Linked DNA regions of Caenorhabditis elegans. The protein of the gene in region 2 purifies or fractionates together with the protein of the main gene of each other region. This does not show direct contact. Each region holds a gene or a part of one and is shown on either strand. Other genes may lie near its edges.

Evidence for each region. Proteins that work in one complex are often made in the same cells at the same time.
Region 1: the proteins of fbxb-3 (region 2) and F48B9.8 fractionate together in Caenorhabditis elegans (co-fractionation; one large-scale study listed by BioGRID). This does not show direct contact.

The regions. Positions count from the first base shown.
Region 1 is NC_003284.9:2,171,455-2,179,589, reverse strand, and holds F48B9.8 (RDD domain-containing protein), read left to right. Parts: upstream 1-3,178; 5' UTR 3,179-3,200; coding exon 3,201-3,365; intron 3,366-4,163; coding exon 4,164-4,267; intron 4,268-4,314; coding exon 4,315-4,419; intron 4,420-4,467; coding exon 4,468-4,588; intron 4,589-4,634; coding exon 4,635-4,792; intron 4,793-5,422; coding exon 5,423-5,561; 3' UTR 5,562-5,693; downstream 5,694-8,135. Other genes in the region: F48B9.3 (ZP domain-containing protein), read right to left, coding at 5,753-6,483, 6,529-6,649, 6,692-6,777.
Region 2 is NC_003282.8:11,835,025-11,841,963, forward strand, and holds fbxb-3 (F-box domain-containing protein), read left to right. Parts: upstream 1-3,932; 5' UTR 3,933-3,955; coding exon 3,956-4,044; intron 4,045-4,223; coding exon 4,224-5,220; 3' UTR 5,221-5,402; downstream 5,403-6,939.

The sequences.
Region 1 (8,135 bases), on a different chromosome or scaffold from region 2:
AAATATTCAGTAATTTTTAACGTGTAGTCAGACTAAGTTCCCACTAAATACTCCATTGTTAAACTCTCAAACAATTTACAATTTTTCATTATCAACTACAAAACAAATAAAACAGTGTGATAACCAGACTTCAGACGCCTAAGATGAGATGCATCGTTGTTGTTTTTTCTGTGTTTGCTGTGATGTCTTTGAACAGGATTTACTCGGAACACAATCGAATGGTATGCGAAGAATGAGTCTAAATACATTAACCACCACTAATTGGAAGGCTGAAGAACCTGACATGAAAAAGAGAAAAAAATGAAGGTTTTGGTATGACAGCAGGATAAATAAGAAAAGGTTGAAAATGAAAATTGAAGGAGAGAAAAAAAACGTATAGTGAATAAATATTCTCTCCAAAAATGAAAGAGTTATAAAACAATCCGGAAGAAAAAAAGGAGGTGAAATAAATCAACGGGCAGTCCGTCTGTCAGTCAGATGGCGTAGAACTGAGGATGATATATGCAATGCATCCAACTAATTGAGAGCCAATGTCAAAAATTTTTGGATGCAATAACTCGGTATATGTATAAAGTATCAGTATAGGTATAATTATAAGTGAAAATTTTTGAAGTACATAACTTATGCATTTAATTTTAGACAAATCAAAATTAAAACTGCAAAAAAAAAAAAATCATGTGACATAAGGGTTTTCAGACCACTTCCGGTCACCATCAATTTCCAGTTGAATCAAGTCTACACAACCGCTTGGCATAAGAAATACACAACAAATAACTGTCAATTCTCTGTAACGTCTTCTATTCTTTTCTTTTTTGTTGGCTGTCAATTGTTGTATAGATAGTATGAATAAACAATGCGTGTGGGGTAGAAAAAAAATGTGATGAGAAGAAGAAAAACGAATCAGAAAAAAATTCCTTTTCTTTTCTCACTTCCATATCTGTCCTCTTTCTTCTCATACCGTATCGTGCTCTCTTTATCATTGTCTCTCTCTCTATCACTGTCGCGTCGTTTCCTCCCCGCGTCTCTTTAGGTGTTTCTCTATCACTCGTATCTTACGGCCACCCCAACCGTCATTACAACTCTGATGCGTACGCTGTCTAGATATCTCATGCGTCGTCGGTGTCGCGCAGGCCAAAGAAAGGGCCCCACGCTCTAGTGGTACTACGACAACTACTATGTACTAGCCCGCCAACATTCTTGGTACCTATTTTTCATTGAGGAGTTATGGCTCAAATTCTCACCCTCGTATCAGAACTTTGGCGGTCTTGGCTACTGTCGTGTGAAAACCCTACTGATACTATTAACAAACACGCGCAGCCTACACAACTTGATCGGCCTTGAAGCGGTCCGTATATAATGTCGGTCTCACGAGATTCTCTTCTCGGTGATCTAAATCATCGTCAAAACCTTCTTGGAGCGTTGTGCGCATCGTTTCTCCGCTAACGATCAACACTAAATCAACTTGGCCTATCTTTCAAAAACTTGGTAATTGTTGGAAAACGGAAACTATGTAGTAGAAAGATCAATTGAATTTATATCGGAAGTTCACCAAAAAAATGGGCAAAAAAGAGAGAAATGCGTTGCACTCACAGCTGTTGAAAGTTGAATGACCTTATCAGTTACGCTCGGGCTATTGTCTGTATGTACATTGGACGGAAGGGAAAAAAACGGTTTTGCGGTTTAATATAGATATCAGCATAGACACTGATGATAATTAGTGCTTGATTAATTTGAATGTATGATACTCCGAAGCAAAAGAATCAAAGTTGTGATTTGAATAAATGAGGAGAAAACAAGAAATCGTTATGCAAGTGTTTTTGGTTTGGCGTAATAAAAATTTGTTATGGACCATTCCGATTACAGAAATTACAGAATACTTTACTTGAACTGATATTAGAGTTTTGAGCACATTACTTCCAAACACAGTTTTAATAACATTACACCCGACAATGACCAAATGCGATATTCTAGTTTAAAAAAATTCAAAAAAAAATTTCATAATTTTATACGATTTTTCGAAAATTTGTAACACCTCACTATCAGTTCTTGCTCCATTTTTAGAAGTCATCGTTCAAAGAAATTGTTCTTTTTATGTTTTATCTCTATGGCCTATTTATGTTTTAAAACCTCAGTAGTTGCCGTTTTTTGTAATAGGACAAACGGCAACGCAGATATGAACTGCCAAATTTGAGTAATGACTCAAAAAAAAGTAAGTTGTGTACATATATATATTTTTAATCCATTACACAACTTGTAAAAAAATCTTCTTCCCAAAAACCTATAAAAATCTACCAACGATAGCGTACAAAATCACGGAAATTTTACATAGAAATAAACGAATGTGAGACAACTCTTCTTCCAAAAGTAAATTCATTCCGCACTATTACCCTAACGTTTCATCGAAGGCTGACTGAATGGAATGTGTGATTCTGAATTGTCATGTTTTATGCCAATAAATAACATTTCCCAAAAATCAAATAAGTATTAGGATTCATGAGCAAAAACAAAGAAAAAAGTTCTTGCGAGATGTGGTCCAAGTGAAATGGAGTACATACAAAGAATGAATATTTTGCAATGAATCTTTCGAGGTGGTATGAAGGGTATCGACCACAATTTTCAAGGTTCCCATGATGATCTTATTTCTGCTAAGCCTACAATTCAAGTGGGTTCAGTACGGATTATCGGTCTGTTCTCTATGATATATGTTCGAGGGTACACTTGACAATCCACTTCATGTTACATATGATTTTTTTTTCAAAATAAATATTTTTTAAATCGAATATTTTTTCAACGCTTCGATTCTGTTCGAATGCAACTATAATATTTTGGTGTACATAAGATTACGCATTCCCTGAATATTCCACACAACTGTCCCCTTTTCCCAAGTGTCGTAAAATATGATGTATTGTCTGCATGTTCACTGCGAGGTCCGCAGAACACATCCTCACGCACTCACTGCATTGATTTTACGCTTTGCATATACAGTGCTGGCCAAAAAAGTATTCCTTTTACCTTTGTTGGTGGAAAATAATTTCCAGCTTCTGACTTATATTCATCCAAAAGAATATACCTTTTTTGGGCTGCACTGTATATTTTTAATTTTTTATAATTACTGTTTCATTTAAAAAAAAACATGCAATACATATACAATTCTATTCCAATTTTTATTGTTTTACAGAACGATGACATCTTCAAAAATAATGGAAACGAGGCGACGTTTCCAGGAAGTGTACGGTCAGCGGAGTGAAGAAAAAGACTACGGATCGATGGAAAACCTGGCCAATGCACATCGAGAATATTTGAAAGTAGTGCGGCGTCAGAATCGAGAAGCTGCTTTACGCCGGATAGATCAATCCATGCAATATGTGAGTTGTTTTGAAATGATAAAAATTTATAAAATCAAAATATTCTTACTATTAGTTTCAAATGTTTTTTTCAAGGTTTAAATCAGGAGTTTTCGAAAATTTTCGACACTTCTTAATTTTCGGAAAAACCATAAATAGAAAATTTTTGGTAAATTGTGGTTTTTCACATTTTTTATTGAAAAATATTCAGAACTTTAATTTCAATCGGCAATATTGTACGCATCCTAAGAATGTTCCTACATCTATTTTTGAAAATAAGCAGAATCCATGAGAATATTTAAAGAAAACCGGAAAAAATTCAAAAAGCATCCGTTTAAAATTTTCCGCCTTTTAAAAAACCCCTCTAAACATTTCCGACATTTCTGATGTCCGGCAAAAGGCATATCGGCAATTTGCCGAAAATTAAAAATTCCGGCAAATTGGCAAACCGGAAATTTGACAATTTGCCGAGTTTGTCGAAAAACAAATTTGCCACCCCTAGTTCAAATCTCAATTAATAAAAACAATAGGATGTTAACCCATTATTTTTTTGCGCCAATGGGCAAACTGTTAAAAGCCACTCGGATAGAGCCAAAATGATCGAATATAGTAGTAAAACTTAAAAAAAAAAGACAACTGTTTTTTTGATCGACGATTTCAAAAAACTTAGAATTGCTCAATTAATAGAAATCATTAAAAGTTTAGAATTTTTTTTTTGAATTTTTGAATTATGATATTTGGTCATTGTGGTGCTATAAGCAACCCGTCTTTAATAACAATTCTAAAAAATAGCATGATTTTAAAACATTTTAATTTCAGGTGGAGCATTTGAGCAGGTCTTTTTCTGCCGAAACTTTTCAACAAAACGTTAACGTAGAAGTTCTCCAACCAGCCCAACCACGTGTTGATTCAGTTCAATTTGAGTATGTTGTTTATTGAGACATTTTTGAAAACGTATTTTCCTTTTCAGAGCTGCAAGCTTCTTGAGACGTCTTCTGGCAGAATTGATAGATTTTGTTTTTATTCTCAGCTTCAAACTTGCTGTAGTTGGAACACTCTCGGAATTGGGTCACATGTAAGAAGAGAATATTCAATTATATCGTACCAAACCTTGTTTTTATAGTGACCTAAAGCAAATCGGAGCAAGCTTGGATGATGATCAGGATGTGATGAACTTCATTAATCTTGCTCAAGACCTTCTCCCAGTTGAAGTTGTGTGTAAAGTATTTTGCTGTTTCGTGGAAGTGAGCATCCAGAAATTACTCAAACAATTGAAATTTTTCTATTCAGGCGGTGTTAATGGCTCGAGGATTTGGACCAATCGGAGTTGGACAGACGTTGGGAAAATGGATGTGTGGAATTCGAGTAATTTCTTGTCGTGATGTTACTTCCGCAGAACGCCCTGATCAAATTATTGTAGAGGGACCCGATTTGATTACTTATTCACAGTAAGTGCAACATATATTTTCTTATTTTCTTATGGTGGGCCAAAATTATGTTGACAGGCATTGCCTTGATTTTCGCACACAAGTCATACTTTCGTGCGAGGATTTTTTTAAAGGAAAATTGCTTTAAAAACATGCCTGTGGCTCCACAATGGACAAAAACTGCAAAAAAAATTTAACAACTAATTTAAAACTTTATATGATTTTTTGAAAATCAGAAAATCTCACAGTTTTGTCAGTTTTCAGTTTTGCATTTTTTGGAATACGTTGATCAAAGTTTCTTTATGTTTCAAAAATAGTAGGGATTCAAATATGCGACAGTGCTATAGTTTCCTCAAAAACTCAGTATTTGTCACTTTTTGACTTCCAATAAAAATGTTCAAGGAATGATAAGAAGCCTCTCCGACTTACTAGTTAGCCAATCAAGATCCACCTAAAATTCCAAATCACAATTTTGAAATTCGGTTGCAAAAAATATTATCTAAATCATAACAAGACAAACTCGCGTTAATTTACTATGTTTGAACTCACCCTCCAAATTTTTTAAGCGAATGTTTTTGTCAACATAATTATGGCTCATCCGGTATTTTTTACAAATAACCAAGGACACAACCGTTCATTCTATTTTTGCAGGGCCCTGAAGCGATCATTCATAAAAAACTTGGTGGTCAGTAGCTTTTTCCCACTGAGCACCGCAGTTTTCCAGATTAACAGAGGACGTGTCTTCTACGATATGATGGTGAAAACTTGTGTAGTTGTAGAAATCAACTAATTTATTGAATGTATTATTTGAAACTGAAGAATCATTCCTTTTTCTTTTTTGCCAGGGTTGGGTTTTGATTTGGGATTTTTTTAATCATTTTTCAACGATATATAATTTATTTTGCAAATAATAAATTAGTATATTTATTTTCACAAAAAAACAGACATTTATTAAAAAACCGTAGTAAAAATTATGACAACTCAGACTGGATTGTTTCCCAAATCAATATTCCAGTAATATGGTTTTCCCGTGTATTCAACAAAACCATAGACGCACATCAGAACAAAAAATGTAAGGGATAACATGATAAGAAAAGCTATCAAAAGCTCCTCTGGCGTCGAAAATTCTTGATTGATGCTAGATTCGATTGTGTGCTCGGGGAGTGGTATGATCACAGCGGAGAATGGCTCTGCTCGCACAATAGTCGAATCTTCTGGCACAGCAGATATCACAAAGGGTTCATAATCTGATTCGTCTTGAGATTCCTCTGATTCGAAGAGGATAATAATTTTTTCTCCGCTTGATTCCACTTGAGTCTCCATTTCGGTTTTTGGTTCTGAATCTGAAGCTTCGTCCTGTTCAAAATAGGTGTTCAAATCGATTTCGTTAGTTTTTTCGTCAGTTTCTTCATCCATGATTTCCTCGATTTCCACTTCCATTTCCCGAATTTCCAATTCTCCAACATCAATCACTTCGGATTCCAAGAATGTGTTACTCGACATAAAAGCAGGCTCACCAATGGTCGACTCGTCGGCGGTTGGAAAGTTTACATGAATTACTGGCTCATCGGATTCCACAAATGACAATTTCGAATTCGAAAGTGATGCTGGCAATATTGCAGATTCAGATGTCCTTTCACATATTCCTGTTACTTCACAAACCTGCTTCAAATATGGATAAATAGGAATTATCCGTATGGAATGCTCATTATCTGAATTGTCTTGAATATTTTTCTGAAAAAGGCGGGAAAACTAACGAGCAAAAGCATGCCCAACATAGGTTTTGGAATCATTATTTGAGTGAACGACTGGGCCTCCAAAATCAGTTACCAGTTGTTCGGTGCACATCTCGCCCGGGATGTCATTACAGACGTGAATCTTAAAACCAATTTTGTTTATCAAGAATTTTTTTAAAATCACTTTAGTTCTTATGAACTCTAAAGAGTGAGCAGTAGCGTTCATTGTTGTAAATACTTCGACTTCTGATCCATTTTTGTGAACCTTATCTGAAAATAATATGATCATATGTTAATCCATGTAATTTCACTTCTATACAATGTTTTAACAATCCATCACAACAGCGATTGTTTAAAAAATATAATAATTCAGTAATGTATAGAACGTTCCCAAAATTTTTTTAGTATTAAGTCGTAGTTTTTGTAAATTTCTAACTTTTCCAAAAATTCATACGGGGCAGATAGCTCAGTCGGCACAGGTAAATCGCGGTTCGTGTATTATACAAAAAATATACACAAAATGTACAAAAAACGAGTACCGGCTAACATGTGTATAATACATGTACAAATCATGAATCGCGACTGTGCGTGTATAATTTATGTATAATTCGTGTATAATACAAAACTCGCGCTCACGATACGTACAATTTCTGTATATTTTATGTTTTATACACGAAATGTATGTGTTAATTTTGTATATATTTTTTATTTTTTGTGAACTGGGGTTGCTAAAAATTGCTTTAGGCAAAATTTATTCATCAAAAAAGAATAAAACACAATTAAAAAACAAATAATAATTAGAATATCATAAAATGTGCACTGGATCCTTCCAAAATCCGGTTCCCATTGCTTGTGCGACGAATGTTCTCTCTGGCAAGTGGACGACCATGCTTCTTTGGTTCCTTTCAGTCCAATTTTACTCTTATCCTTTATGATAGTCCACGTTCTGTAATTTTCAGCTCAGTTTTGAGTGTATTTTGTACATCTCCACACATGGTGGTAAATTACAACGATAACGCTGAAAATTCAAACAGATTCCCAAGAGAATGGTTTTTAGGGCGAGTTGGGTAATAAATACGTCTTCTTGGTGCTGGTTTACAACTACCTAGCGTCTAATAATAATGTATATTCAAAAATATACAATCATCAAAAAAAAGCTCATTTTCCAAATATAGCCAGAATCATGGACCGCTCAATAGAATTAGAGAATTTGACGAACTGATTTAAATTAGAGAAATGTGAAGAACCAGTAAGAAGTCTACATAGTAGTTTCACTTGAGTTTTAATTCTCGTTTGTCTGGTAGAGTAGTTAATATTTACACAGTATGTTTTTGTAGGAGGTTAATTTAACATCGCATCTTTGAAGGATGCGCTTGGTAAAGGTTCTCAGTGATTTTTCAAGTATCAAATACAGTGCCGGCCATAATTCTATCCAATTTTCGATTTTTGATAAATTTACAAATTTTTCTAACGAGCACAACTTACAAAATGGGCATGCTATCAAAAAAGTTCAACTAAAGAAACATTGTCCATAATTACGTCTACTTGTATTCAGTTGTTTAAGTTGTTTATCATTGTCATGACAAGAAATACAGCGGCCGACATCTCGTGAGCCCGTTTTTGACAAC
Region 2 (6,939 bases):
GCACTAATAGAGACTGCAGCACTATTTTTCGGACCCTTTTTGAATGCAGCACTATTAGAGACTGCAGTACTACTGGATATGCAGCACTAATAGAGAATATACGGTAGTTTTCCGTACGTCGCGCGTTTTACTGGATCTTGTGCGTTGTGACGAGTATTCAAAGCAAAATCAAGATATTTTTCAAATTGATGTCAGAGCCTCCGAGGAAAGAAATAACGTCCAAGAAAATAGACGAAGAATGTATAAACAAAGATGGGAAAAGATGTTCTTTACTTTGGACTACTTGATGTGGCATTATTCGATATTCTCAACACATCAAAAATTGAAGTGTTTTTCATCTTTATGAACCGTGATTGTCGCATTTTCGAAAATCTTCCTCAGACATTTTAGGAAGGAAATGTCATTTTTATTTCCTTAGATACTCCACATTCAATTGTTTTCTGGGATAATCTTGACATTGAAAGCATTATTGAAAACCAGTTATCCAAAGTTGACAATTTCCAGCATTTGACAAAAGTTGTATCTAACCTCACAACCAGGCCACAAAATAATAATTCAAAATTTCAAATTGCTCAACGCAAGTCAGTGTTTTTTGTGCAATATCACATTGAACGATTTGATACTAAATAACAGTAGTTTTGCATACTTGGAATATATGAAGTTTAACGAGAAAGACATCAGCATTTTTCTAAAACATTGGATTAATGGATCAAATGAAAGACTGATTCATTTGTTCTTATCAGGAGAATCCGCGTTCAATGACAGAGAATTGTCTGTCAAAACTATTCTCAATGGAATTGGTTGTGAGAGAGCTTCACCTACCCGAACAATGTCACATTTGCCTAGCTCAGTAAAAGAGCTTGTTGGTAATTTTCCAAGCACACTCAAAAATAGCTTCGACATTACAAACAAAGACGGAACTGCTGCAACAGTCACTATAGAAAAATCTACGCGGGACAAGATACATGTTTTCTTGACTGTCTGGGATGTATAAATTTACAAATGCTTTTTTATTTATTACTGTATCGCTTAACGGAACGTCTGGAACAGTTTCTATACTAATAACTCGAGACATTCTACTTTTTGGCCCAAATTGTTTATCTTTATAGCATGTTTCTTCTTTTCTATATTTTTTATTCAAGCATGTAATTTTTTATTTTCTTCATCCATGTTTCTTGTTTGAAATCAAAAAGTTAATAAATGTTGTTTATCTAAACCGATTATTATCTAATTGACCAACCTCTAAATCCCACCGGGAAAACACACAAATTTTGCCATTAAATTCTAGCTTCTTACAGTTATAGGTATTGAACAGTTTCCAACCATGCACATTTGTGTAGCTCATTAAAAGAGCTTGTTGATTATTTTCCAAACACACTCAAAAATAGGTTCGACATTATAACTAAAAATGGAACTGCTGCAACAATCACTATAGAAGAATCTATGCCAAACAATTTACGTGTTTCCTTGACTGTATGTGATGTATAAATTTACAAACTTGTGTTTTCGTTATTACTGTGTCGGTTATCTTTTATTGAATAAAAACCTATAACTTCGTTGAATATCAGTTTTGAGAAATTCTGAAAAATGCTAGTTGCATTTGACCTAAACTTTTTTGTCTTACTTTTCCAAGTCTTACTCCTAAACACAGGCAAATCGGGTACGGTCCGTTTACGGATCTTGGACCAGGAACAGACCATTAACGGGCGAACTACGGATATGAAAAGCGGGACGGACCAATTACGGGCAAACTACGGGGAATGTAAAAAATGGCCATTAAGAGGAAAAAATGGATTTTAAGAAAACGAATTTTTTTTTAATACCTATGATACCAGTTGGCTAATTCAAGCATTTTTACGTCGTTAAATGCATTATTTAGAGCAAAAACCACATTTACCGACCGAGATGGCTCTTGAGCCGTAGTTGGGCCGTTTCCGGTCCGTAGACGGACCGTAAATGAACCGTCCCGGGCACCAAATTTTTGTTTTTGAAAATTTCAGGTTCTAGCACGGAAAAAGTGCTCAAATTAGCCAAAGGAGAGTGTAGGCACTTCAAAAACTCCATTTTCATGAAAAATGTTTTCGTATTATCCTCCGTTTTGGTGATCATCCGTAGTTTGGCCGTAGCCGGTCCGTAGATGGTCCGTAAATTAACCGTCGCGGTCGGCAAAACTGCACTTTTTAAAACTAAACCTTGAATCAGGCAAAAAATTAGCCAACTGGCTACAATGAACCAAATAGCATTGTAGGTACTTCAAAAACTCAATTTTCATGAAAAAAAATTCCTCTGGGCAACCATTTTGTCTATCATCCGTCCAACTGGTCCGTACGCGGCCCGTAATCGCATGCGATCTAACTGAGGCTATTAAGCATTAAATTGTGTGTAAAAGAGGTTATATTAATATAATCCTATAAACATATCAATAAAAAAGATGAAATGCCACAATTGGGTAGATACTGTGTATACGCAACGTTCACTCTCTGTGCTGGTCTTCTTCAGCTGAGCAACAGGACCATTTTTTGAAATATCATAAAATATTTTACTAACAATACATTCTGGAATCATATCGTTTCTGTTCCGTGTGTATTTTAAGAAATTAAGGTATCATTCAAGTAGAACGCATATACCTTATTTCCTCTATTAGTATTGCAACCCGGTCCAATCGAAAATTAGTCTTGCATGCAAGACTAATAGAGGAAATATGGTAAGTACCATTTTTGTATTACAAGTAGATGGAGCACGTATAGGTAGATGTTGAGAAATATGCGAAATAAGTTCTGAACTACACGAAACTGTCAATTGTTATCGTTCGCTTTCATATAAGTCCAACGGCAAGATGGAGAATCAGAAACTACTGAAAATACAATCGAAAAAGTTGGTGTAAGACGTGAAAACCAGAAGAAAATGCGCGAGCGCGAGCTAATCGCTATTTATGCGAAGTCTATTGATTTTCCTCACGTGCGCGAACGGCCAAACGGTAAGGTGATGGGCCAGTTATCAATCGACAGGCAGTGGACAGGTTCAACTCCGGCTGAGACAGATAGATTTGCTACAACGAAGGATCACCGGAAGACGGTCTGGAGCAAGACCGGAGCTCGGAGGAGCATTGGGAAAGAAAAAGGGGGCAGCTGGAGGGTGAAAAAATTTTCCCATTTTTTAGTCTCCTTACGGTTCAATTACGGTCCGTTGACGGACCGGGAATCGAACCGTGAACTGTTCTTAAATTTGAGCCGTTCCCGGTCCGTGAACGGACCGTTTTGGGCACTTTCCGCTTTGCCTGTGAAATATGCACCAATTAAAAATTAACATTGAACCGAATTATTTTTAGTTCAACAGGTCTCAGAATCATTTGTATGGATTTATTTCTGGAAAGACCGAGTGGCAGTGGCAGGTGTGTCTCAAAGGGAATCTACGTCATAAGGTCACTCACATGTTTCCTTGACTGCCTGGGATGTATAAATTTACAATAGTTTTCTTATTTATTACTGTGCCGGTTATTTTTCATTATATAAAAATCTATTATTTCGTTGAGTATCAGTTTTAAGGAATTCGGAAAAATACTAGTTGCAATCGACCTAAACTTTTTAGCTTACTTTTTTTACTCCTATGAACCAATTAATAATTAGCATTGAACCGGTTTGTTGCTAGTTTAATAGGTCTCATAATAATTAGTATGTACTTATTTCTGGAAAGAAAAGAAAAGAGTCGGATCAGTCTTAGTGTCTTAAAGGGAATCTACGTCATAAGGTCAATCTGACAGGGATGGCTACACACAATTAATGGTCAATGTAGTCATTCACAGCGTCAAATCGATACTAAATCATTTGCTCTTTTTATCCAATAATTGTCCTTGTTACTCAAAAACAATCCGTCTATCTATGTCTTTTTGTATTTTGAAGAATTTTTCAGACTAATTTGAACAAGTATTTTCAGTTCAACTTGTGATTCCAAAATCATGCAGGACGGTGAATCTAATTTCCCTCTTCTCCTTCTACCCGAAAACGCTAAGAAACATGTTCTTCGAACAATGGACGTGGATTTTCTGTATGTTTCCCAAAAACCACAAATTCATATTATTGTTTTGCGTACCTATTTTTAAAATATGTTATTCTTACATTTATGAGCACTTGTTTTGCTAGACTTTTTTCAATTAGAAAAAGGAAAACTAAAATCACTTTTTATTGGAGTGACATCACTGATCATTTTCTCAATTTGTTTTTCAGGCTCTCACTTTCCTTCTGCTCCAAAAGGACTAAACACATTGTGCAATCTCTCAAACTAAAATTCGAGCATTTTAAGATGGATCTGTTAGGCAAAACGAAGTTGATGATTAATTTTCGATCAACTACAATTTTGCTTGTTTTTAACGCACTCTATGGAGATAAAGCATGGAAAGATGTGTTTCGAACTGTTGTGTCAACGGGTCCTCCTAATGCCCGATACTATAACACTAACTTTTTCAAAAGTTTTGGATGGGAAAGAAAAGAACTCGCAGTTGAAGATACGATTTATCATATATTTGACATTTTGAACACAAACGTGATCGACGTATTTTTGGACTGTAATAACAGAAACATGTTTTTCTTCGAAAAGTTATCTCAGACTTTTCGAGAAAGAAACGTTCGTAGAATATCGTTGGGTTCTATGCAGAATCCTATTTTCAATAGTTTTTCGTACCTTGAAAACTCTTTAAGAAACCAGTTTCTGGAGTTGGAGGGCCTTGCATATCTTAGAGAATTATATCGTACCTTGCAAGAAGAACACAAAATTTTGATTCAAAACTTTAACTATCTCAATCCCAATTTGCCTTCTACAGGCAAAATGACATTGAATGAGTTGTTATTAATTAACAGTTCTCACATTACTTTGACTTTTAATGAAATGGCTTTGAATGAGAAAAGTCTTAATATTTTCTTGAAGCATTGGATTAATGGATCCAATAAAAAACTTGACTATATGTACTTATCCGGATTTACACAACTCGGAGAGACATCAGTGGCTATCGAAGCAATACTCAAAAGGATTGTTCATAAAGAGGCTTCCCATGACAGACTATTTAAGAAGTTCTATGACCCGGGATCGAATGGAAATATCGGTGATAATTCATCAAGTCTTAAACATGGATTTGACATAATAAGTAATGACGGAACGCCTGCAACAGCTTCTATACGTATATCGGAAGGCGTTATATACTTTCAAATGAAAGTCTGGGACCAGTAACCCTTTCAATCACAATTTATCTTCAAACCATATTTTTTATCTTCCTTTTTATTCTCTTATAAGAACATGGATGTTGTTATTAATGCAGTAATTGGCGTTTTTTGTCAACTTTACACTGAAATTTTCATTTTCTATACTCATAATTCCTTCGAGCAAAAATAAATAAACTTTTAAATGATAAATAGACCTATCTCCTCCGAGATCGCGACAAGCTCATAAAACAATATACATCATTTCATCTTAGGTCACGATAAGCTTAAGATTGCCTTCTTATGAATTCATAGACTAGTCTTTCAGCATCATCTCATTCATTTCTTCAATTGCTTAATCTCGTCAAACCTAATAAAAACACTTTCATTGTGTTATCTTATATCCATTTCCTGCTAGGTAACTATAGAAACTCAAGTGTTATGCTAACAGGTGTATATTTCTCCAATGCAACTTTATTTGATATTACACGAATCGTATAGTTGTTTTCTGTTCTCGATTATTCGATTTTATATATTAAAACATTGAAAAAAATACACAACAAGGATAGACCTTTCAAGAGGTACAATTGTTCAAAGGAAAACATAAGAAAATGAAGTTCAGTGAAGTGAAAGGAAACCTTACTACTAAAATTGTAGGGTGTCTCATGCTGTAGTTATTGAACAAGTTTTACTACTTATCATGTTTTTGAACTAATTTTTTGGTTGGAACTTGTATAAATTATTCCATCAGTTCAAATAGTAATCTCCATTTTTTTCAAAAAAAAACTGTCGGTAATTTGTCTAAAAGCTTACCTAAAATCCCATAGCAAATAGGCAAAGGTTATGTGAAGCTAGGGTGAATTGACTGCATGAACACTATGTGACTTGGTAGCACAGACTTTGAAGTTTGGTCATCAGTTATAGATAATTTTGTTGAAATGTTATACATGAGCCAAGTGGATGTGAAAAGTAGACACAAAAATAATAATTTTTCTTGCTGGAAAAGAGGAAAATAGTGAATAGTTGGAATGATTGGCCACCGAAGTTAAAAATGGCATTTTTTTAATCGTTTAGTATTTTTAACTTTTTGATATCAATTCTTATATACGGAATTTTTTATACTGAAAAATTAAAATTGCTTTTTCAGTGTTCGCTGTTCAAAAATTTTCTTTGCGAAAAAATGTCCTAGTAAATAACTGTATATTATTAGAAATTATAAAAGTAGCTAATAAATATTGCGCCATTTTTAGAACTTGATTAAGCCAACTCTAACACCTACGTGAATGCCTATTTGCCTGCCTACAAGGCAGGCAAGCACGCTTACTCACGTGCATATGTGCCTGGATACCAGAGCATTGAAACATGATAAACATTTTATTACCAAATAATTTAGAAACCAAGCAACTTGCAGAAAAATGGAAAATACGCCCGCTCTCTCACCAGCTCGCGCCTCGCCCGCACGCCCGTGCGCCTAAAAAACGCCCCGAAGAGAAAAAAATTCATAGCTTGTAAAACATTTATTTTCAATTAAATATATAATCTTCCATTATTATGAAACACCAATAATTAACATGATGGCAATTTATGAAGGTAGGGGAGAAAGGCGCCCCACGCTTCACCCGGTTGGGATGCCTAGGCATTTCAAAGTGTCAGCCCCTGCAACTTCCTCACTTAGCTTTTTTTGTCAGTTTCAAGATATCAATGACATCATAAATTGAATCCAAAAAAAGACCACCTTCTTTTCCGTTTC